Lytechinus pictus: one gene and its partners. The main gene of each other region encodes a partner of the protein of the gene in region 2 in a complex. Links are inferred from orthologs where the notes say so. Each region holds a gene or a part of one and is shown on either strand. Other genes may lie near its edges.

What was found. Proteins that work in one complex are often made in the same cells at the same time.
Region 1: the proteins of THO complex subunit 2-like (region 2) and THO complex subunit 3-like are in contact, whole or in part, in a cryo-EM structure (PDB 7ZNL), measured with the Homo sapiens proteins. The link is inferred for Lytechinus pictus from reciprocal best matches to the Homo sapiens genes THOC2 and THOC3. Residues at the interface, in NP_001075019.1 of Homo sapiens: Tyr395, Arg396, Pro401, Lys402, Gly403, Ala404, Lys405, Gly406, Ser407, Pro446, Ile447, Ala450, Arg454, Cys500, Asn501, Ala502, Cys503, Met504, Glu506, Pro563, Arg566, Gln567, Lys570, His573, Tyr603, Leu604, Thr605; in NP_115737.1 of Homo sapiens: Asp193, Met196, Ile208, Val217, Gln218, Asn221, Ala222, Pro224, Ser225, Ala244, Asp245, Ala246, Leu247, Ser249, Trp251, Asp252, Asp254, Glu255, Leu256, Val257, Cys258, Val259, Cys261, Ser263, Leu265, Asp266, Pro268.
Region 3: THO complex subunit 2-like (region 2) and SAP domain-containing ribonucleoprotein-like share a complex: the UniProt entries of both Homo sapiens proteins name them as parts of the transcription/export (TREX) complex. The link is inferred for Lytechinus pictus from reciprocal best matches to the Homo sapiens genes THOC2 and SARNP.

Annotation. Positions count from the first base shown.
Region 1 is NC_087256.1:25,213,892-25,221,953, forward strand, and holds the start of THO complex subunit 3-like, read right to left. Parts: upstream 3,082-8,062; 5' UTR 3,055-3,081; coding exon 2,872-3,054; intron 300-2,871; coding exon 143-299; intron 1-142. Other genes in the region: eukaryotic peptide chain release factor subunit 1, read left to right, coding at 7,375-7,463. UniProt on the Homo sapiens protein: Component of the THO subcomplex of the TREX complex which is thought to couple mRNA transcription, processing and nuclear export, and which specifically associates with spliced mRNA and not with unspliced pre-mRNA.
Region 2 is NW_026974140.1:1,412,858-1,420,838, forward strand, and holds the start of THO complex subunit 2-like, read right to left. Parts: upstream 3,055-7,981; 5' UTR 2,970-3,054; coding exon 2,905-2,969; intron 1-2,904. UniProt on the Homo sapiens protein: Component of the THO subcomplex of the TREX complex which is thought to couple mRNA transcription, processing and nuclear export, and which specifically associates with spliced mRNA and not with unspliced pre-mRNA.
Region 3 is NC_087257.1:27,960,338-27,968,056, forward strand, and holds the start of SAP domain-containing ribonucleoprotein-like, read left to right. Parts: upstream 1-4,638; 5' UTR 4,639-4,714; coding exon 4,715-4,738; intron 4,739-6,547; coding exon 6,548-6,706; intron 6,707-7,719. UniProt on the Homo sapiens protein: Binds both single-stranded and double-stranded DNA with higher affinity for the single-stranded form. Specifically binds to scaffold/matrix attachment region DNA. Also binds single-stranded RNA. Enhances RNA unwinding activity of DDX39A.

The sequences.
Region 1 (8,062 bases), on a different chromosome or scaffold from region 2:
AGGTGGCTTCCCTGGGTAAATATACCTATATTATTATTATTATTCAAACATGATTAAAAGACCAAACATATTGGTTTCCTTTGGGTCAGTGTAAAAAAAAGAATGAAATAGCTAAAATTAAATCAAAAATAGTTGAGCATACCCTTTGTAGCTATAGTTGATATAGACTTGGCAGACCTGGTATCCCATATCCTGATCGTCTTGTCTCCCGATGCGGTCACAAACACATCTGGATTTCTGGGATGCCAGCACAACTGATCCACACTGCCGACATGACCCTTGTACGTTGCTTCTCTGGTCTACGGTGAAGAAAAATTCATAACAAGAAAACTATGTGCTGTCTACAAGAATCATCTGTAGTTGAACATGAAGAAAGATTTGATTTTGTTTCCATTGAATGCAATATTCCTGGCAAGCATTCCTTCCCTCACTTGCCTTGAATGGGTGCATTGACCATGGGTCTTTCTCAGAATTATTCAACAAATAATCTGCAATAAAGATGGCCCATGTACCAGTACCTTTCCCACAATCTAGACTTAAACGAGGAATACGAGTACATGTTTTGCATAATCCGGTCTAAAAAGTGCTTCAAGTTGGGTGAATATTCAACTTAAAGAAAGGTCTACTTTATACAACTTGCAAGTTCACATGTATCTTGAATTACAGGGATCATAAGGGATGTACTACTTTGACTTACTTTAGGAACTTCTAGCTTCAAGCTATTAATCAAGGCCCTGCTCTATCAATTTTTTTCCCCTCAATATTGTTGCTGTTGCTGATCGCATGCTGCACCTCTGCTTAGGAAAAAACTTAGCAATATGGCAAATGCATGCCATTAGATCCATGTGCAGGCAATTGGCAAAAATATCAAAAAATACAAAACTTCGAAATTGTGAAAATAGCAGAAAACTTTGATTTGCGCCTTGAATTTATTTAAATGCTAAACATCTGCTATCATGGATATCAATGTCAAATAACTGAAAATGGCAAAGAACTTGGTCGGGTCTCAGAGTCAGACTTGTCCCGAAGAGACAAGTAGGGTCTAAAAAAAAAGAATTCCACTTCTTCTACTTCCACATTAACTCTAACTAAACTAAAGCAAACTAGATAATTTTGACATACGGTTTGACAGTTTATTATTGATGCTGATATCAGTTATAACTTGAGCAATCAAATTGTCTCAAACAAATTTTAATCCTTTTTTAATCTATTTTATTCATTTTTTTAATTCCTAAAATGTCTTATTCAATTGTGCCTAATACATGTATGACCATTAGTTCTCGCGTTCGTTCACGGTATCAATCGGCCATTTTGTTTTCAATTTTGAAAGCGAGAGATAAAAACGCAACAAAGAGGATCTAGATCTAAAGTTAGATGTAACTTTTCCTTTTTTTGAGGGTCAAGTTTGTGCCTCAATGTCAGGATTCTGTGTTTAGATAGACCTTCATCCATATAGTGCGTCTTTTTCGGTAAGTAATGCGATCTCTAAAAGTTCACGACGGACTCCGCCATCACCACGATGTTGTAGAGAAGGTGAATATCATCGTAAACAACCTCGAATAGTAGTGCGTCTATTTCGGTGAGTCATGCGACCTCTAAGAGTTTACGATTACCTCCGCCAACACTACGATGTTGGGGAGAAGGTGAATATCATCGTAAACAACTTTGGATAATAGTGCGTCTTTTTCGGTAGGTCATGCGTCCTCTAAGAGTTCACGATTGCCTCCGCCATCACCACGATGTCGTAGAGAAGGTCAATATCATCGGAAACAACTTCAGATTGTAGTGCGTCTATTTCGGTAGGTCATGCGTCCTCTAAGAGTTTTACGATCACCTCTGCCATCACTATGATGTTGTAGAGAAGGTGAAGGTCAAGTCAATCTTGACGTTCATATGCCATAATAATCATTGTAATGATTGTGGGCATTAACGGAAAGACAAGACAAGACAAGAAGAATATCATCGTAAACAATTTAGGATAATAGTGCGTCTATTTCGGTAAGTCATGCGTCCTCTAAGGGTTTACGATTACCTCCGCCATCACTACGATGTAACTTGTAGAGAAAGTGAATATCATCAGAAACAACTTCGGATAGTGTCGCGCGCTGCAACGTCATTATCTTCTTTTCCTTCCTCCGATTATGTCGGAGATCAAAACAAATCATCATCTTCTTCCTCCGTAACGTTGGGGAAGTACAATAAGAAACAAGATGGCGGCGTAAACATCGGGCAAGTCTCTTCCGTCTTTTCACAATATTTTTTCATTTTTTTGATGAATTCTTGTTTTAAAAATAACAACGAGAACGTAGAAATGTCGGAAATGAAGTTTTATCCCATGTACATGATTTAGAGCTAGATCTTTTAGAAGGAAAGTAGAAATCTCGGAGGTGAAAGTTTCAGGTTTTGGCTTCCTTTGTGTGGGTCTATGAGATAGAAGGCCTGGCTTCGTATGAGAGTAACCTTACGTTAGTAAATGATTTTTACTCTCTAGAACTAGTACTATAGTAGAAGCCGCCTGGCTAGGTGGGCAGGGGTATCGTAGACAGCAAAAAAATTCCATGGCATGAGCCATGACTTTGAGAACACACGAGAATCGAAAATCATGAATTGAATTGTATACAAATTGATTTTAATTCTAGCTAACAAATTTTATTTGTTTATCATACATTTCAGAAATATCCCGCATATAGCGAATAATAAAAGATGGGCGACACGAAAGACGGTCCTTGGGCTTGGTCCTGCAAGACCCTTTCGTGTAATCGGCCAAGCGGGCCGGTGCTCCCTGGGCCTGGGTTAGCGAGATAAGATTAAGAGTGCAGCGACGCGACACGGCGCGGCATCGGCAGTCAGTCATATTCAGACATAACTCACCATCCTATCTCTATCCAGCGAAAAGACACAAACATTTCTATCAAACGATCCGGATGCAAGCATAGTGCCATCACAATTCCATGCTACAGAGTGAACTTTCGATGAGTGAACCCCATTATGTTCTTTTGTTCGACAATTCTTCTCGAAATGTTTTTTAATCATGTTTTCTGTGGAAGCTGCCATCTTGATGTATGGTACGCTAATTTGGGGATTCCTATTGAAAAGGTGAATGTATCGTAGACCCATTATTTCTCGTCATTGATGATAATGATGATGATGATGATGATGGTGATGATGCCCGGTGATGATTAGACCACATTTAGAGTATGCACATGCCGTATTGAGTCCTACTTGAAGAAACATATTCATGCACTAGAAAATGTACAAAGAAGGGCCACTAAATTGGATTATGAGGTTAAAAAAACCAAAAAACAAACAACTTCCATACGAACAAAGGTTGATCCTGAACTAAATTCCCTACTTTGACATACCGCCGTGCGCGAGGGGATATGATTGAAACTTACAAGTTCCATGCAGGAGTAGTGCCAGATCTGGGTCAGTTGCATGGGACTATCGAGGTCATGATAAAATAATTGTTTATCTCATTAAGATCAGTCACTGAAAAAAGAAAAGAAATCTTTTTACATTAGAATGAGAAAACCATGGAATAGTCTCAGTAATGAATTAGTTATGCCCCCATAGTGTCTTTGAGAATGGACTGGACAAGATGTGAACCAGTGAAGTTCAAGTTTGACACTGACCCACCAGGACATGATCCGGCCAACCTAAAGAGGAGAAGGAATTTGAAACTGAATGCAGAGTCATAATGACTTCGTTCAGTTGTTCCATAAGTATCCAGAAGTAAGTATGATAATGATATGATGATGATGATGATGATGATATGATGATGATGAGGAGGAGGATGATGAGGATGATGATGATGATGACGATAATTATCACAATCAGCACTCTCATCACTGTCATCATCATCATCATTGTTATATAGGGCCTATATTTTTTTATATAAACAAAAACAAAGAAGGGTACAGAAATGCATGCATGGTCAGATAGGAAGACTAGGCCTATAATAAACCTAAGAGAGAGGACGGTAGATGAATGATAGGTTTTCCCGCTCAATTTCATCTAAATAATGTAATTTAATTTAATTTAATTTTGCGTTAGCCATGATCACCTCGGTTATTTGTCAATGTATTTCATTACTTGTCACTTGAATGTATTTTCCGCTTAAAATAACTATCAAACAAGTCACTACTGAGAATTTAGATAAGCAGCATAATATGTTTAACGAATTCGCAAGGATAACCATTTTCCCGCACTTTTGGTTCATTATCTCTGCAAAATATTCTTCTTCTAGTAAGTGTATCACCCGAATTGGTGCATTTTTATTAATAGCATGCAATTAAAGGAATGGGCATTCATAGGTCTACTTTTCCTGTTATAAAATGTACTTTATAGAATAATAATGTTTTCCTAGAATAAAGGCACCGCGGATTGATGGAATGGAGCCATATAGGCCCCTTCCAATTCCCTTCCAAATCCGTCATGCTTGACAATTTGACATACAGATGATCACCCATGAAATTGACTAGAGTTGAAAGTATTATCATACAGGGACACGTCAGCGGTGGATCCACTTTTGAGAGGCACAAAATATTAGGTTTTTTTTTTTGCTGGAATGTGTCATGCATAGGCAATTTGGGGACCCATTTTTTACTTGTCAAATTTTTCCTTAATTGCACAAACTCGATTTTGTAGTTTTTTTTTCAGGTTCTCATTTTTTTTCTGTACAAAATGCCCCCCCCCCCTTGGAAGATCTTGGATCCGCCCTTGGGACTTGTAATAAACTTGAAAAGAACAAAAAAGAAGAAAGTAAATATCAATGGAAATGCCCACACAGTCAGCATTGTCGGGTGAAAAGGAAGAATATATAGAATAGCCCTTAACACCTTTGTAAAGGAAACGCAAAAGTTGCAAAAGATGCAATATAAATTGTTTTTATGATGAAAACTAAGGATATTGTGGAAATTCAAATTTGGGCTAAACAAATAGCCACAATTCAAACAATTCTGATTGTATTATAAACACATGTTTATACATTAATATTAGACACATATTATGAGCATACAGATGCCATGCAAAACAAACGATTTGCGCATCATTAATTTGAACTCTCAAAAATGAAATTGGTTGCTCAAGGTATCGGTCATTTTTTATTTATTGATTGCGCAATTTCTGAATTTCCGACATTGCCCAAAATTAAGAAGTACATTCGTTAATTTGTAAGACCATTAGCGAACCTCTTTGCCTTAGAACGAAATCTAAATCACTGATGACACATTTTGAAATGATCAAATTTGAAATTGTATTGACCATAGCTTTTTTAATGATTATAAATGAATTCTAGTGTCTTTAAATGAATCCCATTGTCTGCTCTTCGGGAAAACGTTTACGTGTGAATTTAAATGCACATAAATAAATCCAAATGACTCCTATATGAAATTGGACGGTCTAAAACTGGAGAAACGTAGAAAGAGGTAAAGTAAGTCTCCCCGATGTTATTCAAATTCCATTTTAAATATCCAAATCCTTAAAAAAAGCTTTTTATCATATATACGTACAGGCCCCTCTGTCCCCAAAGTATACCGTTTTATAACAAACACACATGATATTCATACTTTCAATAAATTCTCTTCACTCGGCTGAATAAAATTCTTCCGATTTAATGGAATTTTCAATATTTTGCTTGTTTCATTTTTATCCCTCCTGTTTATATATTCAATTCAAATTGTTGTTGGGGTAAGACTTTTGGTCTCTGATAAAAACAATGCCTTAAAAAAAAAAAAGAAATCCGTGCAGCCAAAAAAGTTTAATAAAGAGTTTATTTTATTGATGTGAATTATATGAATTTATAACAAAAATCAAATACAAATGACTCATTTTTTCTATGTAAATGATATTAAAAAGTATGTTTGAGGGTTTGAGAATATAATTATGATCGAGAGACAAAAAAGGATACTTGCAAAGGAGCATATAAACGCCGGGCACAATGGCCATATAATCGAGGTTTCATGATAATAGCAATTTATCATGAAACCTCGATAGTTTTAACCCATGGGTTAAAACTTAAAAGTTCCAACTAGATTTCTGTTTTTTTTTTTCAATAGAACATTAGCCTACCGCGGCGACTTTATGTTTTCAAAACTTTTTCCTAATTTATTTAGAAAACCATTTCCTGGCCCTTTCTAAACCTTTTTGACCGGGCCTTCTGAAAATGTTTAGCGCTGAATTGTGCTGATCTAAATTTGAATATATAGGCCTTTACAATATGCCCCTAGACCTCCAACAATTTTTATTAACCTCAAGTCTGTCAAGTCTTCAACCATTCTCTATAAAGCGGTCGAGCGCGACTGAGCGCGCGCTTCCGAAAAGTTGGATTAGAAGATGACGTCTCTACCACTAAAATAGATCACTGCTGACCTACCATCTCACCAGATCGAGGCTGCTCAATCAGGAAAAAAATACTTGCGATTTGAGAAAGAAATCATGAATTAAAAGAAATATCTTAAAAGGGAATGGGAGATGAGAGCTAGGATAGTCAGTATCTTTAATTGAAAGCAAGTGAGTTATTCTAGCATATATCAGCATTGATGGATCTCTCCTGGCCAAAAAATATATTATATCAGTTATCACGGTACCATGTACCATTACGATGAAAGAAAGGTGAAATAGAGGGCAATGGACGAATCCATTAAATTGTATGGGGTTTCTTTCTACGAGAGATATATTGTGTTGATTAATTCACATTGTTTAACTTATAAAATCACGTTTATTTTAATGACATCGTATTTCAATAATCTCTTTCTTTTTACTATGATTTTTATATGGAAAATAAGAACGAATATTAGTTTCAGAATGATTTATGTCCCCGGTAAGTCCCTCGTAAGTTATCGTTGTGACCTATACGTACTTCCGGTTGAGTCGTATACATATTGCATTTATTTGGAAATCGCGAACTTTCATCACATGGGCGAAATATCAAGACGTGCTGTGTCCAACATATTGTGAAAGGCGATTGTTTCATATTCTTGATTTTCGATGCAAATCATTTTGGAACAGAACTGATTTGAAGTTAATCGACCAAGATCCTGAATAGGTTTGATCGTGGAATTTTGTACTGTTAAACTTCAAATATACAGTTCAAGACGAGCCACACGCTGTTGTCGATACAGCGTGTTGGGGCCATTGATTGAGTTTCATTCATTTGTTGCAACCAACCGGCATTGGAATTGCATTGAATAGATCTGCAGAAGGCCAAACGTGTGCAAATAAATAAGCACACTCAAAGCTAGGCAACAACCTTGCCAAATCTGATAATATAAATCAACACTTTAGTCTTGTTATTGTTAGTGGAACTAATTATTGGTGAACAAGAGTGTTGATTGGAGAAAGAGAGACAAGGAGTAGGAACAGAATAAGAGAAAGATGTCTGCACAGGAGGAAACTGCAGCTGACAGGAATGTCGAAATATGGAAAATCAAGAAACTGATCAAAAGTTTACAGGCAGCAAGAGGGTATGTTCTCATTATTGAGTAGGCAATGAATGGTAGGGTCATGAACTGTTATTGTCTTATGAATTGGCACTCATCATGCTCATTCAATGAACAAGGTTGTGATATATTATAACCTTGTTCTCAGTTAAAATATATCTCCATGTGTGGCAAAATAAGGATGGCAATGTTTGGCTTATTTTCTCTTTTTCTTGGGGACAAATGCTTGATTTTTTTACAAATTACACTGACAGTTTCCATTACACCTATTCGTCATACAACTTGGCCCTTAAGTAAATTTGATTCTTTAAATTATTTTTTTCTTAATTAGAAATAGTGATAAAAAATGAAAATTTTCTTGCCATATTATAATTATTTTCCACCAATAGAGGGCGTACACAAAAATATGCCCAAAATTCAAGTTTTTGAGTGCTCTAGTGAATACAAAAATTATTCCCAAGTTACTAATGAAAAATAAATTGCAACTGTACGGAAATTAGTAATTTTGGTCACAAAAGTGATATTTTAATCATTTTTTAAAGTGTGTGCTCTGTACAGCATTGGCATGCCATAGTCCAACCTGTAGATTCCCCACAGGCAGGGTGGTTGCAGTGAACAAGTGA
Region 2 (7,981 bases):
AAAAGTTCACGGCGGGGTCCGCTATCACCACGAGGTTGAAAATAAAATGTAAATCATCATAAACGATGTAAGAGAGTAACGCAATGAGCTCCGTCAATAGTACGACCTTTCAAAGTTCACGGCGGCATCCGCTATCACCACGAGGTTGAAAATAAAATGCATATCATCATAAACGATGTAAGAGAGTAACGCAATAAGCTCCGTCAATAGTACAGTCTTTAAAAGTTTATGGCGGGGTCCGCTATCACCACGAGGTTGAAGAGAAGATTTATATCATTATAAACGATGTAAGAGAGTAACGCAGTGAGCTCCGTCGGTAATACGACCTTTCAAAGTTCACGGCGGCATCCGCTATCACCATGAGTTGGAGGAGAAGATATCTATCCTCTTAAACATCGCCATAGATAATACCGCGTCTTTCTCCCTGAATAATGCGACCTCTAAATAGCTAGCACCTCAAAAACAATCTTGAAATATGTTCTGAGCGATCACGCACTGTAACCAGATCTACGCCGATTTTTTTTTTCGATTTTTTCCTTCAAGGGGCATGATCGAAAATCGGCAAGTGATTGCCGATTGTGGTGAAATCGAATGGAATCGGTTGCCGATTGCAAAATCGGTTACAAGCTTAGGTCAGACCATGATTTGGACAAAGCCCTTTTTTCGTTTGCAAATTTTTGACTGATAATGATACAACAGAAAATTGATCTTTATCGATATTGGAAACAAAAAAATTAGAGCACAGTTTTGGGGAGGACTAAGAATACTGACTTGGACAGGAATACAGCTTGACATAAATAAAAATTCACAATTCAAAACGAAAGAACATTTTTAATGCATTGCAAGAAACTTTCTACTCAATCACACATTCCAAAATTAAGGGTATGTCCTTTCATTAAACACAAACATGTAGTTGATTTGCAATTGAACATAAGTTTCTTGCAATGCCCCATAATTATATTTTGTTCTCAAGCAACTGTGTTATATGTTATCTAATGTGCTGAAGGTTAAGTGCCATATATGTTCACAATTTTTTATTCGAAAGGTATGATATATTTGTCCTTTTAAACGGTATTTGAATGTGGTTACGCCTTGTTTTTGTTTTCCACAGTAATTATTGCATATATGAACAGAAGTGAAATATTTGTTGTGAAGCACTGTATGAATGTTGTGTGATCATGGAGCTATGGTGTGATGGTATTATAATTAATTAATAATTTTTGTTATAAGACTGTAAACCTGTTGGATGTGAGGGAGTGGCCTGGATGAAAGGAAAGTGAGCATGTGTCGAATTACTGATTTGCATATGTTTAGACAATTAGAAGTCCACCCCACCAAAAAATTAATTTGAATTTAAAGAAAAATAAAGTATTGCAGAGAATTTCATAAAAACTATGATTCAAAATTCAAAAAATTACTATTTTGACATTGAGAAATTTGCCTAATTTTATAAAACAATTATATGCTCATCTTGGTCAATGTGCAAATTACAGAACCGATTATGTCACACGCACTCTAATTTCTTGTGTATTTTTTTGTTTGATACATGTACATGACATGTATATTTTATTTTAATTTTCATTAACAAATTTTGAGAGGGATTTTAATTCCTCCATTAACATTCGTAGTTTCCATAAACGTAACCTATTGTGATTCGAGAAAGATTTTTTACATCAAATTTGCTAAAATTTATATAATAAAAATGCAACAAAAATTTAAAAAGTAATTTGATGTGACATAATCAACTCTATTTGCATACCATTGTTTTGTGTATATAACTGTTTTGTGTTAAAACAGGGAAATTTCTGTATTTATTCAAATACTTATGAGTTGATGTGCACTTGACCTTTAACTCACTTCCCTTCCCACCCCTGCCCAAATACTAAATAGGTGTAATCAAGAACTTGAAAATCAAAAGCAGTGATTAAGAAGAAGTAGAAGAAAGTAAAAAGAGAATAAAGCTGGGTAGGAACGATGAAGGAATATGATTTAAAGAAAAAGCATAAACATATCCCCATCAACCCCCCCCCCCCCAAAAAAAAAAAAAAAAAAAAAAAACACAATCCGGCGGGTTCGAACCAGGGTCCTTGCACACGTCAAAACATAGCGCACACGTCAAAACATAGAGCTCACGCAATTCGCCATCGATCTCTTCCGTACTATTTCCAGGATTTTTAAGCTATATATAATGTTGTAAGTCTGTGCGCCGCTGTTGACCAATCAGAACGCGTCGGCAATTCTACTACAATTCCAATCATTTCGCGATGGACATTGCCGTGGTTTTTTGTGGTTCCTGACTTTGCTACATCATGAAATTTCATAATTCTTTTTCAGTCGTAAAGAAGAATGTCTACGCTTTATATTGAATATAATATCAATTTGACGCAAGTGTGATTTCGATGCAAAAATGCGCTGTTTATTCACATATATTTCTTGAAAAAAAATCATTTTTTCTAAGCTAAATATCGGTCTTCAAAATACATTAAATGTGCATTTTATTTAGCTGATCAGAAATTTCAAAGTTTTATCTATAAAATAAGACCAATTATGTGAGGAATAAACGATTCTAAGAGCAAAAAACACCGATCGGAAAGTTCGTCTTCACAGCTCATTACGTATGCATAACCACGGACGGCTATGCATACCGGTACCGCTGAATAAAATAGAGCACTTTCGGACGGGCTGCGGACTGACTGAAAATCCACTACAAAAACACGTTGTCGTTGGTTGTGAATTGTGCGAGGTTCGGTCCTCGCATACAATAGCGTGAGTGGAATTGACCATGATTTGTTGTCGCCAGACTATGCCTGGCATAGTAGATATGAATGGGAGAGCCTATGACTGAGTATAAATGAAAAATTTCGTGTAAAAATAAATTGAAGTCTGATTTAATTGACAACTTACAACTCATTTCTGCCACATTTCTCCCAACTTTTACAGACTTCGTCGTTGATGAGGTAACGCGCCATGTTAAATGTTAAATGTATGGATATCGGATACAAAGCTAAAGCTAGCTAGCTAAGTGTGTATGCGGCTCGTTGAAACTGTCGACCAATAATAGCGACTAGAACAAATATGGAGTATTGCGTCTCCGAAATGATGCAAACAAAAGGGATGCCAGGGAAATTGTATTTCTCCGTGAGGATTAGGATGTAGGATTGTAGGAAAGGATGTGATATAAATTGGGGATAGACGTGAAATAAAGCATGACTTCCTTGACATTATTTAACTCCTCGAATTCTAAAAGTTAATTTTAATTATTATGGATGTATAACTATGAGGAGGCTATGAAGACCATGGGCGGAAATCTGTCCCGAAAGGTAGAGGGGAAAACAGAGGCTGATCCAGCCTTCGCCAATAGGGGGGGGGGGCGAAAAATGTTTTCAGCCAAATGTTAATCCCCGATCGGCCGCTTGAAGGTAATTTTTGTCTGTTTCATTGAAGGAGTAGTCCTCGATGGTCACTTTTTAGCTTTATTCTTATAAATCAACATAGATATATAATATCATTGTCCTTATTTTTATAATGCGAGCGCGAAGCGCGAGCATAATTTTTTTGGGCAAATTTATGTATTTTTTCCTAAAACTTGAACATTCTGGGCAATGTTTGTTATCCTGAAAAAGATGTATATGCAAGTAAATATTTACTACGAACGCAAAGTGCGAGCAGAGGTTAACTGGTGGAAAAGGTACATGAAAGACTGCTTGCAGTTCATATCGAAAACTTGCATAGTGTACCGGACATGTGAAAACATAGCAGACGACGTTTGCAGACCTCGCGATCATCGTATGACTAGTGGTGCAGAATGTTCCATTGCGGCTTTATGGGGGAAATATATAGCATTACAGAGGGATAAAATGTATACACAAATAATGTTTCAGCGTAATTTGTTGTGTCAATTTCATAAATTATTGTTGTTTGAAGATTTAAAACGTCATTATAAAGTGACAGGAATAAACAAAACTTATTTTTTAGACTTACCTATGCAGTGGTAAGCTAGGATATATTTATATCCATAGTTTGGACTGACAAGGTATATATATTTATATATTCCTAATAAAATGTTCAGCACTGCAATGGAAAGAGCTAGAAAACCGCTGTGACTCGAACAACACACCGACGTACAAAAAATCTCTGTCCAGCCCTATATGTTGAATGCACGTCGAGCAGTGGCGTAACTACGGGGGGCATGGGGGGCACGTGCCCCCCAATCGGCTGGCCCCCCCCAAAAAAAAAAAAAAAAAAAAACGGGGAAAAAGAGAAAAAGAGGGAGAAACTGAGAGCAACGTAGTGGGAAGGAAGAAATTATTGTTAATTATGTTATATTATATTATAATTATGTCATGTTATATTAAATAGAAATGAAAAAAATATCATAACTTTATGAAACATAATTTGCTCAGGGCCTATGTCTTCATTGTCCCTGATGCTCGCATCGTCTGTTTAACGAGATATATAATCCTGTTGTACTAAAACCTCCCGTTTTCAAGTCAATTCACCAAATATATTTCCTCGCACTTCGAATTATAATTGTTTTATGTAGTGACATATCATTTTAAGGTCTTAATATAAAACATTTCCCGTCCGTGCTCATGTTCGCATTAGTGGATTAGTGAGATATGTCTGCTCTTCATGAATTCCTAAAATCAGTCCTTAAAATTTCCCTTTTTCTGATCTGAATATCAAAAATTTCAGCTTGCGCTCGCTTCATTTGGTTAGTGAAATACGCATGGTCTACGTGAATTCCTACAAACAAGCCTTAGAATGCCCCTCTTCAGGTGTGAATTTCCTAATTTTTCAGCTCGCGCTTCGCGCTCGCAATATTTGACTAGTGAGATGCGTATGATAATCATGACTACAAAAAGTATGTCTTTAGGTGTAATTCTAACAAAATCATGCAGCATGCGCTTGGCACCCGCATTAGAAGACTATGGTGAGATATATGTACTCTTAATGGATTCTTTTTAAAAATAGACCTTAAAATATCCATGTTTGGGGTCAATATATAAAAAAATTCAGCTCGCGCTTCGCGCTCGCTTCATTTGGTTAGTGAAATACGTATGGTCTTCGTGAATTCCTACAAACAAGCCTTAAAATGACCCTCTTCAGGTCTGAATTTCCTAAATTTTCAGCTCGCGCTCGCAATATTTGATTAGTGAGATGCGCATGTTAGTCATGATTACAATGACTACAAGTGATTTATGTGTTTGGATGCATAAAATTCTAACAAAATCAGCAAGTGCTTGGCACTCGCATTAGATTACTATATGGTGAGATATGTATACTCTTAATAGATTCCTAAAATATAGTCCCTAAAATGTCCGTTTGGGGTCAATGTATAAAAATTTCAGTTCGCGCTTCGCGCTCGCATTGTTTGTTTAGCGAGACAGGTACATATCATGATTACAAAAATTTGCTTATAATGTCCCTTTTTAGGTCTGAATATCAAAAATTTTCAGCTCGCGCTTCGCGCTCGCATTATGTGACCAGTGACATACATATCTGTTTAATGACACTGTCCTTTAAATGTCTCTATTAGGTCAGCATACCTAGCAACTGAGCGCGCTTCGCGCACTCACTAAGTGACTCAATATTTTTGCTAGTGCCCCCCCCAATGCCATGACCCACGGTACGCCACTGACGTCGAGTGTAGGTTTGCTCTTCGGACATCACTATCACAAAGAAAATCTCCTCTGATTTGATGATAAAAGTGCTCTATTTCCTTATTAACCAATCTCCATGGTTCTTTCATGAGTATTTGCCTTACAATGTGCCCTTTATTATAATCTGGGCGGAAATTCTTGATATCATCACCCACCGATGTGACGACGGATGTAATCCACCCGGGTACTATAAAAATGTCCCCCTAACCCATTATCCCAATACATATTCCTGACTATGGATGGTTTTGAGTGATTTTAATGTAATAAAGTGCCATATTTCCCACCAACTGAATGTAAACAAATTATGGTCATCTGATAGAAGAAGTTGTTAACATTCATTTCAGGGGGGCGGAAATTCTATCTGAATCAAAGCTTGTCCTTGATACACATTTGTTTGTGAAAAAAGGGTATGATGCAAGGGAATTCTGCGTGTTATAAGGGTGCGCGCGTGCAGCGAGGACCTTCTGTCCGCTAGTTTTCCATATGGCCATGAAGACGTTACATATTTCAACAATCAAAATAATGCGAGCGCGAGCTGAATTTTTTAAAAAAATTTACCCAAAGACTGGAAATTCTAAGCACTTTTTGTAACTTAAACATATAATAGGTATATAACTAAACAATTGATGCGAACGCGAAGCGCGAGCGGAAAATTTTGAGATTTAGACCTAAGAACGAGAGCTCTATTCATGTTTTGTAAATCATGAAAAGGATGAGTAATTGGGGGTCTTCCTTACACCCGGTCCTTAATGCGAGTGCGAAATGAAGCCAGAAAACGTTCATATAGTTTACGTTTAATTTGAATCGATCGAAAAGGTACTTGTTAAGGACTGCTTGCACTTACCCATGAAGACGTTACATATTTCAACAATCAATATATGCTAGCACGCACGAATCGCGAGCCAAAAAGAATCGAAATTTTTAATCAATTTTTGTAATCGTGAACAGGGTAGCTATATAAGTATAACTAAACAATTGATGCTTGAGCAGAAGAATTCAAGATTGAGACCTAAAAACGGGACACTCTATACTCATGTTTTGTAAATCATGAAAAGGATGAGTAATTGGGGGTCTTCCTTACACCCGGTCCTTACATTAATAATGCGAGTGCGAAATGAAGCCAGAAAACGTTCATATAGTTTACGTTTAATTTGAATCGATCGAAAAGGTACTTGTTAAGGACTGCTTGCACTTACCCATGAAGACGTTACATATTTCAACAATCAATATATGCTAGCACGCACGAATCGCGAGCCAAAAAGAATCGAAATTTTTAATCAATTTTTGTAATCGTGAACAGGGTAGCTATATAAGTATAACTAAACAATTGATGCTTGAGCAGAAGAATTCAAGATTGAGACCTAAAAACGGGACACTCTATACTCATGTTTTGTAAATCATGAAAAGGATGAGTAATTGGGGGTCTTCCTTACACCCGGTCCTTACATTAATAATGCGAGTGCGAAATGAAGCCAGAAAACGTTCATATAGTTTACGTTTAATTTGAATCGATCGAAAAGGTACTTGTTAAGGACTGCTTGCACTTACCCATGAAGACGTTACATATTTCAACAATCAATATATGCTAGCACGCACGAATCGCGAGCCAAAAAGAATCGAAATTTTTAATCAATTTTTGTAATCGTGAACAGGGTAGCTATATAAGTATAACTAAACAATTGATGCTTGAGCAGAAGAATTCAAGATTGAGACCTAAAAACGGGACACTCTATACTCATGTTTTGTAAATCATGAAAAGGGTGAGTAATAGGGGATCTTTCTACATTAATAATGCGAGCAGAAAATTTTTGATATTGTGATCTGAAAATAGACCGCGGGTCCGATAGACTTTTTTTTTTTGTAATAATATTTATTAATCATTCAGTTCAAAGTAATGGTACATTGTAAAATATTACAAATCAATATTAACAAAACACTGTTCACGAAAGACAAATAATTATCCATAATACAAATAATCGTACATGTCATGGTATTGTGGCGTAACCGAGCTCTGTCGGGGTAGCGTTCTGCCGTCTCGCAGTCTCCAGAACCCGGTCCACGCTTCTCCCCCGCTTCTCCTCACTTATATACCGTATGGGTACTAGTATTCAACCTGGCATAATTCAAAGATTTCGACATATTCCCCAAAATTTTTAGAAATAGGGAATTTATCTTAATTTCACACCTTTGTTATTTCCAGGGTAATCTGTTGTCGATATTTTCTTTGTCAATCTGTCGACTGTATGCGCGGAGGATCGAATTATGCGGCGAGCGCGTTTCCGTTTTACACCCTGGCGAAGGCATTTTCCGGAAAAATA
Region 3 (7,719 bases), on a different chromosome or scaffold from region 2:
ATTTCCCCCTTTTCTTCTCTTTTTTCTTGTCTTCCTTTCTCCCTTTTCTTCTCTTTTCCCCTATCTTTTCTTTCCCACTTTTCTTCTATTTTTTCCCGTCTTTTCTTTCTCTCTTTTCCTCTCTCTTTTCTCTTTTTCTCCTTTTCCTTCTCCCCTTACTCTCTCCTTTTTTCTTCTCTTTTCCTCTATTCCCCTCTCTCTCTCTTTTCTTATCTTTCTTCCCATCTTCCTCTCTTTTTAAATATTATTCTCTTCCTTCCCCTTTTCTTTCTCCTTTCTTTTCCCTCTTCCGCTTTTTTCTTTTTCCCCCTTTTTTCTTTTTCTTTCCTTTCCCCCTTTTTCTCTTTTAATTTTTTTCTTCTCTCCCTCTCCTTCCCCCTCTCTCTTTTTCTTCTCTTCTTTTCCCCTCTTCCTCTCTCTCTCTCTTTTTCTTATCTTTCTTCTCATCTTCCTCTCTATTTAAATATTCTTCTCTTCCTTCCTCTTTTTTCTTCTTCTTTTTCCTCCTTTTCCTTTCTCCTTTCTTTTCTTCTCTTCCTTTTCCCTCCTCTCTTTTTTTCTCTTCTCTTTCCCCTTTTTCTTCTCCCTTTTCCCGTCTTTTCTGTCTCTCTTTTCCTCTCTCTTTTCTCTTTTTCTTCTCTTCCTTCCTCCCCCTTACTCTCTTTTCTATTCTCTTCTTTTCCCATCTTCCTCTCTCTCTTTTCCCCTCTTCCCCCTCTTTTTTTTGAGCTAGGGGTGAGGCAGTTCCCCCTCGGCCCCCCATGGATCCGCACCTGATAGAACCCCATGGTCTCGTATCATTTGACCTTTGGACCTCTCGATGACATTTGATACATCTGATCATAATTTTACACACACTGCGAACTATCGGACCCGCGGTCTATCGGACCCGCGGTCTATCGGACCCGCGGACTATCGGACCCGCGGTCTATCGGACCCGCGGTCTATCGGGATGTCCCCCTTCATCCATGACATGCAAAAAGTACAAAATTTCACTTCGTGTACTTCCCTTTATTTTGTGGGTACCATTTTAATCCTTTCCCCCAGTGATTAATTGATTACAGTGATTAATTTTATTATGTCACAATAAACCAAATTATGACAGTTTATGCACTCCCAAGAAATAGTGTTTACGGGCCGGCCGGTCTATCGTCTACACACAGACCACACAGACTTCGCACAGTTCGGTCAAGGCGGTACGCGTATCAAACGGTGCCAAATATACGGAAATTGTGAGGAGCGCTTTTCCTATGAAAGGAATTGATATGCATTATTAGGGCTTAAAACTTGACCAAAAAAGGTTATCGCCCCAAATTCGAGAATATGGACCCATGTTTAAGGCCAATATCTAACAAGGCAAAAGCAATTTTGTGTCTCGCCCACTTATGAAAATGACCAGAAATATCGTGATTTGCGAGGGCACGCAAGAGAATTATATCGAAACTTCATTGTGAAATGACTGGGATGGAATAACACTTGTCATAAGAGCCTTGTACATAAACTTTAAGGTTGACCTGCAAATGACCTTTGACCTTACCAGGTGACCTCTGACTGCAGCATAACATGCAGGTCCCCCAAGTCCATCTACCATCCAAGTTTGGTTGAAAATCGACTTACGGTTGTGGAGTTATGTGTCATTAGATTTGTGACGGACGGACGACGGACGACATTTGGATCCCTAAGTCTCGCCTTCACCTCCGGTGGGCGAGACAAAAATTGGGGGCATGAACCCATGTATCTAAAAGCAAGTATCTAAAAATTTGGGCCATGCATGTTTAGGGATTTTCCAGCATAAAACCATACCCCATGTTTAGAGATTTCCCGGAGATTTCTTCCAAAAGAGCGACCCATTTCAGCGGCACATCCCCGTATACCTTATTTCGTAAGTCCCCCCCCCCTCCCCTGGCTCTAATTGTATTCAAAATTTTCTGAACTCTTAAGATATTTGACTTGCACGTAATTAATTTCCTCGTAATTTTTCTCTTATGGCTCGACTGTATTGATCTTTTATTTTCACTTTGCCGATACCATAATAAGACTCGTGAAACGAAAATGTGTAGATTATCTATTATCTAAAAGTCAGATCCGACTTGAAGAGAAGCGATTATCACATAAAGGGTCGTAATCAGTCATGTGTTCATTGGAGTCAGGAAAATAGGGGGTGAGATTTGACGTAAGTGGGAGAAGTAGGTTGATGGGAAAAGGGTCAACAGAACATTTTAGCCCCCCTCCCTCTCTCTCGCCCTCCCCTTCTGTTGAGTGACTGATTTTTATTGTCATGTACGTGTGAAGTCCAGAGCAGAATGTTAATTTAATTAATTAATGATAATTAATTAATGATAATTGGGGCATCAACTTTTCCTATCAATCAACAATTTATCAATAAATCAACTATTTCAGTGGGCAATGTAATCAATCAAACGTTCAGTTTTTCAATAAAGTATTTCATAAATTATAATCAAGTCAATTTCTTGGTAATCATTCAATAAAAAGAAGAAAAAAATGACTATCAGCCACTGGTCACTTCAGTGGCAAATAAGTTTTGAATAGGCTACCATCCAGGAAGTGAGAGGGGTCTGGGAAATTGAGGGGGGGGTGGAGATACATAAGAATTTAATTTGTAAAATGACAAAAAGATGATGAATGCCCTTTCAACCAAGTCTTACCATATCTCGCCCTCTCGCTTGTAACAGGTACCATCACATTACTCCGACTCACAAAACACACTGCTTAGGTCTACAAGATGAATAGGCTACACTAAATTTACAATTCCTGTTCACTCAACCATCATTCTTACAAGATTCAAAAATCATATTTGTTGGGGAAAATCCAGCATAAGTGTTACCTTCCCCTTAAAAATCCCAAACTTAGGATTTTTTTAAAGAAGTCACCATGCAATCAAATTTTGCCTCATTGTGATGTCAACCATACGATAAATAAGACATAAGGAGAAAAATTCGTCCATAATTGACATCGTATACAATTATGTTACCTGGTTATTGATCATTCGTTCTCTGTATATGAGGTTCATGGGTCGAATCGCGAACCAACTAAAGAGAGTTGCAGCTCCGTAATTAGCTTGAAGTAGAAGTTCGCCTTGGTGAGAAACACTCATGAAACTGTTCAGTCTAGGACATACCTTTAATTTTCAAATGAAATTCAATCTCGACAAGCATGCCCCTTCCCCCACTGTCATGCCATCACAATCGCCATAATCATAATCATTGTAATCATCAAAACTAGGATTATTATCATAATTAATCTCAGCACCTTCATCACTGTCATTATCACCGTCATCATCATAAAACATTAATACATTCATCATAAAACATTAATAAATCATCACCGCGGGCGGCGGAGCAGAGGATATATCCTTTGTTCATAGGGTGCATCATTATTATGTTTATAGATTAAAAAACAAAAAAATGTTATTATCGTCATCATTACCACCGCTTTCATCCTCATCCTCCTTATCCTTCTTCATTATCACCAACATCATTATTACCATCACCATTATATCATCCTCGATCATCATTCCGTTTTCACAAACGCTGACTACTTGTAGTAGTTCCGTCATTGGACAATGTGGTTTGGGAGGATTCATTGGGGTCAAGAAAGCACAATTAGAGATTATCAGAGATCGTTGCGTAACTTCAGTTGAAACGGATTCTTCCTATTGTTAGTTGTTAATTGTAATTTTCACACCTTCTTTGTTCGCAACACATGCGAGACGGTGTAGTTAATCGAACCCATTCAAGTCGCTCCGGGGCATTCACTTCAAAGCTTCAAAGGGACTTTAAGAGTTATCTTTCCTAAAACGAAGTAAATCAAGTGCATTGGGGTCTTGAGAATAATTTAAACAAATTCTTGACCACTACGAACTACTCAAAGAACGAATAACAAAGGAGATTAAGAACAGAACATGACTGGGAAATGGGAATGGATGAGGATTTCAATAAGTTGTATGCATAAATACGAATGCTAGTACCCATGAGCATTGGAGGATGCAGGCGGGGGGGGGGGGGCACAGTCGGTCCATGCCCCCTTTTGAGAAGCAAAATAAAAATTTATAATGTAAAAATGCAAGTCAATCTTCATCATTTCATAATTTCAAATCAATACTCGTTTCTTCATCATTTTGAGTTATTTTAAGAAATATACAAGTAATTTGCTCAGCCATTTCATGATATTAAGAGAAGTCATAACAAATATTGAATAATGAACATTGCTTTATCCAAGTTTCCATCCTCATTATTTTGCGTTCCTAATGCCTCGGTCATATTTGCTCTACGGCGGCCGTACGGTGAGTCGGAAACACCTGTTTTATCCATTTTTATTCAGACCACGTGTTTGTAGCTATTACAACAAAAAAATGTTAAAACGGTTGTTTTTGACTCGCCGCACGGCCGTCATAGAACAAAATTAGTGGGTTTTCGCCCAGCGTCGTACGACGTAGAACGTACGTGTGCAAAAATCGCCAACTTTCATGGAAACAGAGGCCCGAGCGTTCTTGAGCTCAAATCACGGACGGTTCTTCCGCAAATTAGCGGGCGTCCGCATTAGAACGTAGGATTTGTCAACAGCCGTCAACAGCCAATCAGATCGCTTGTAGAGCGAGCAAGCTGAGCCGATCGATGTAAACACATTCGCCCATCGCGTGCATGCACATGTTGTACTCTACTCTGACTACACTGATAGCTGAAAGCTTCAAAACATGGACTCGAATGCGATTTTTTCGGTGAGTACCATTTCAATTATACTAAAATCAAGCTAAGTATAATTTCAAAATGTTACAGTAGAAGTTTAAACGAGTATGATTATTGAAATATGATTGAAAAGCCGTTGCATGGCTCGGTCGACGACGCGACTGCAAGACACATGGCACTGCCAGTTGTGTGCACATAGTAGGAACATATACAATGCACATGTTGGCGTGTCAACATTACATGCCAACCATGCCAGCCGGTGGATCCGGCCGCGTTCAGCGATTTGCGAAACTGCTTACAAGCGAGAGTTGAGCGCGACGGACGCACGAACAAAGAGATCGTTCTACGTCGTAGATAGCGTCGTACGACGCTGGGCGAAAACCCACTAATGACCGAGGTAAGGTCAGGGAATGTTGCAGGAGTTCACCCCCCCCCCCCTCCACTTAGATAAAAAAAAAATTGCTTGTAATTTTTTTGTTATGAAAAGACCTAATGGGGGGGGGGGGGGAGTGAAAACCTCTGTCAAATTTTCATTGAACTCGAACTCTACCTTTCAAAAATTCTGCGTAGGCTACTGCAAAAGCTAGAGCTATTGGAGCTATACGTAGCGTAAAGAGAATTTTGTTTCATAGCGGCAAAGCTCTGCCTCAAATACCTTGTATTGTGTATGCTTGCGCGCACATGGTATCTATCAAACTGATATTAAGCGTGCGGGTATACCGCAAGAACGATACTGAGTCGTGACTAAACTTTTCTGAGGACTAATTCGGAGGAATCAAGTACAAGTGACAATGCGGCCGTATTTGTCAGCGCTTTTGGAATTGTTATAGGCACGGTTGTAGTCACATCTTCAGGAGCGAACAGAGCTCTGCAAGCTGATTCAGTGGGTCCAGCGCCTGTAGACGTTGTGCGCGGTCGCCGCGGTTGATCGAACGCTTTGACGGATCGCATTTTACTTCCGCTGGTAGCCAAAACTAAATTTATTTCCCTTTCCATCTTTGTCAGGAATTTACGGGAATTATATACATATTTTTGGAAGCTCACATCATCAGGTACTAATACCTTGGTCACATTTGCTCTAGGGCGGCCGTACGGCGAGTCGAATGCAGCCGTTTTATTCATTTTTATACAAACCACATTATGTAGCTCGTACATAAAATGTTAAAACGGCTGTTATTGACTCGCCGTACGGCCGCCGTATAGCAAATGTGACGAAGGTGTAAGCATGAATAAGCGATTCGCCGGAGCAAAATTTTTGCGTCCAGGTTCTTGTCCCTTTGAATACTTGTCACGCCTTCCAACCAATTAATTACGGCACACATCGTCATTCATTGTACTAGTAGTTGCACCCTCACAACATTTCACGGCAAACAATTGAGATAAGGAACTTCTCTACACGCGCCAATAAATTCCTCTAGGCTTGCCATCCCAATGCCCGGGAACAATAGAAGTGCCAGAACGCGACTGCACGGGCTCGTTATGTCACTCCGCGATGATCGCAAGGGTGCTCTATTGATATGCAAATTCAACCTCATTAACTTCGTGGCGTGCAAGCCCGTGCATGAAAAGTAATGAGGGCGTGCAAACGCGTTTGCACACCCCTCCCGGATATTGACGTCCCGCCTTATGAATGAAGAGAGAAAGATCAATCATGCATTCTCACTGCAAGTTTCATTGAAATTGAACATCAAATAATGAAAGTTATTGTATTTTTAATTTTCTCTTATTTTCACAATACATTTCTTGACATCAAGACATCATTGACTCTCATCTTTGCTTATCCCCTGTGTAAAGCAAAACCTTTGAGTATATTTATTCCTCATTTCTACATGTTTCATTAGGACCTTGATGCTGGAGATATAGGGGAAGAAGAAGAAGCTGTTGTCACAAGAAAAGTAGAATTAGAAATAGAAGAGGAGGAGGAGGTGGAAAGGGAGGTCAAAGCACCTGAAATCAAGAAGGTTATCTCACCTACTGCTAAACCAGTATCAGATGTCGAGGTAAGAGTGATCAAGCAATAGATCGGAGATACACGCATTTGTTAACTATCATGGTTAAAACCTTAGAAGGGGGGGCTAAAACAGAGACGCCAACTAGTACTAATTTTCAGTATCCAGTACTGAACAATGAGAAGAATACTGATGGTTTCATGCAAAATACTGGTTTCTTAAGATTCCGTTTATGAGTTGGCCTACGGTATTTCTTTGAAGCTACTTATTTCCTCACCAAAATACAGATTTTTGTCTCGCCTGCATAGCAGAGCGAGACTATTAATAGGCGCCGCTTTTCCGACGGCGGCGGCAGCGTCAACATCAAATCTTAACCTAAGGTTAAGGTTTTGTAATGACATCATAACTTAAAAAGAATATGGACCTAGTTCATGAAACTTGGCCATAATGATAATCAAGTATTACTGAACATCCTGCCTGAGTTTCAGGTCACATGACCAAGGTCAAAGGTAATTTAGGGTCAATGAACTTAGACCATGTTGGGAGAATTATTTTCAAAATCTTAACCGAAGGTTAAGTTTTTGAAATGACATCATAACTTAGAAAGTATATGGACCTAGTTCATGAAACTTGGGCATAAGGTTAATCAAGTATTAGTGAACATCCTGCTCGAGTTTCAGGTCACGTGACCAAGGTCAAAGGTCATTTAGGGTCAATGAACTTTGGTCAAGTTGGTGGTATTTGTTGAATTACTATCATAACTTTGAAAATTTATGGATCTAGTTCATGAAACTTGGACATAAGGTTAATCAAGTATGAGTGAACATCCTGCCTGAGTTTCAGGTCACATGACCAAGGTCAAAGGTCATTTAGGGTCAATGAACTTTGGCCAAGTTGGGGGTATTTGTTGAATTACCATCATAACTTTTAAAATTTATGGATCTAGTTCATGAAACTTGGACATTAGGTTAATCAAGTACCACTGAATATCCTGTGCGAGTTTCAGGTCACATGACCATAGTCAATGGTCATTTAAGGTCAATGAACTTTGGCCGTGTTGGTGG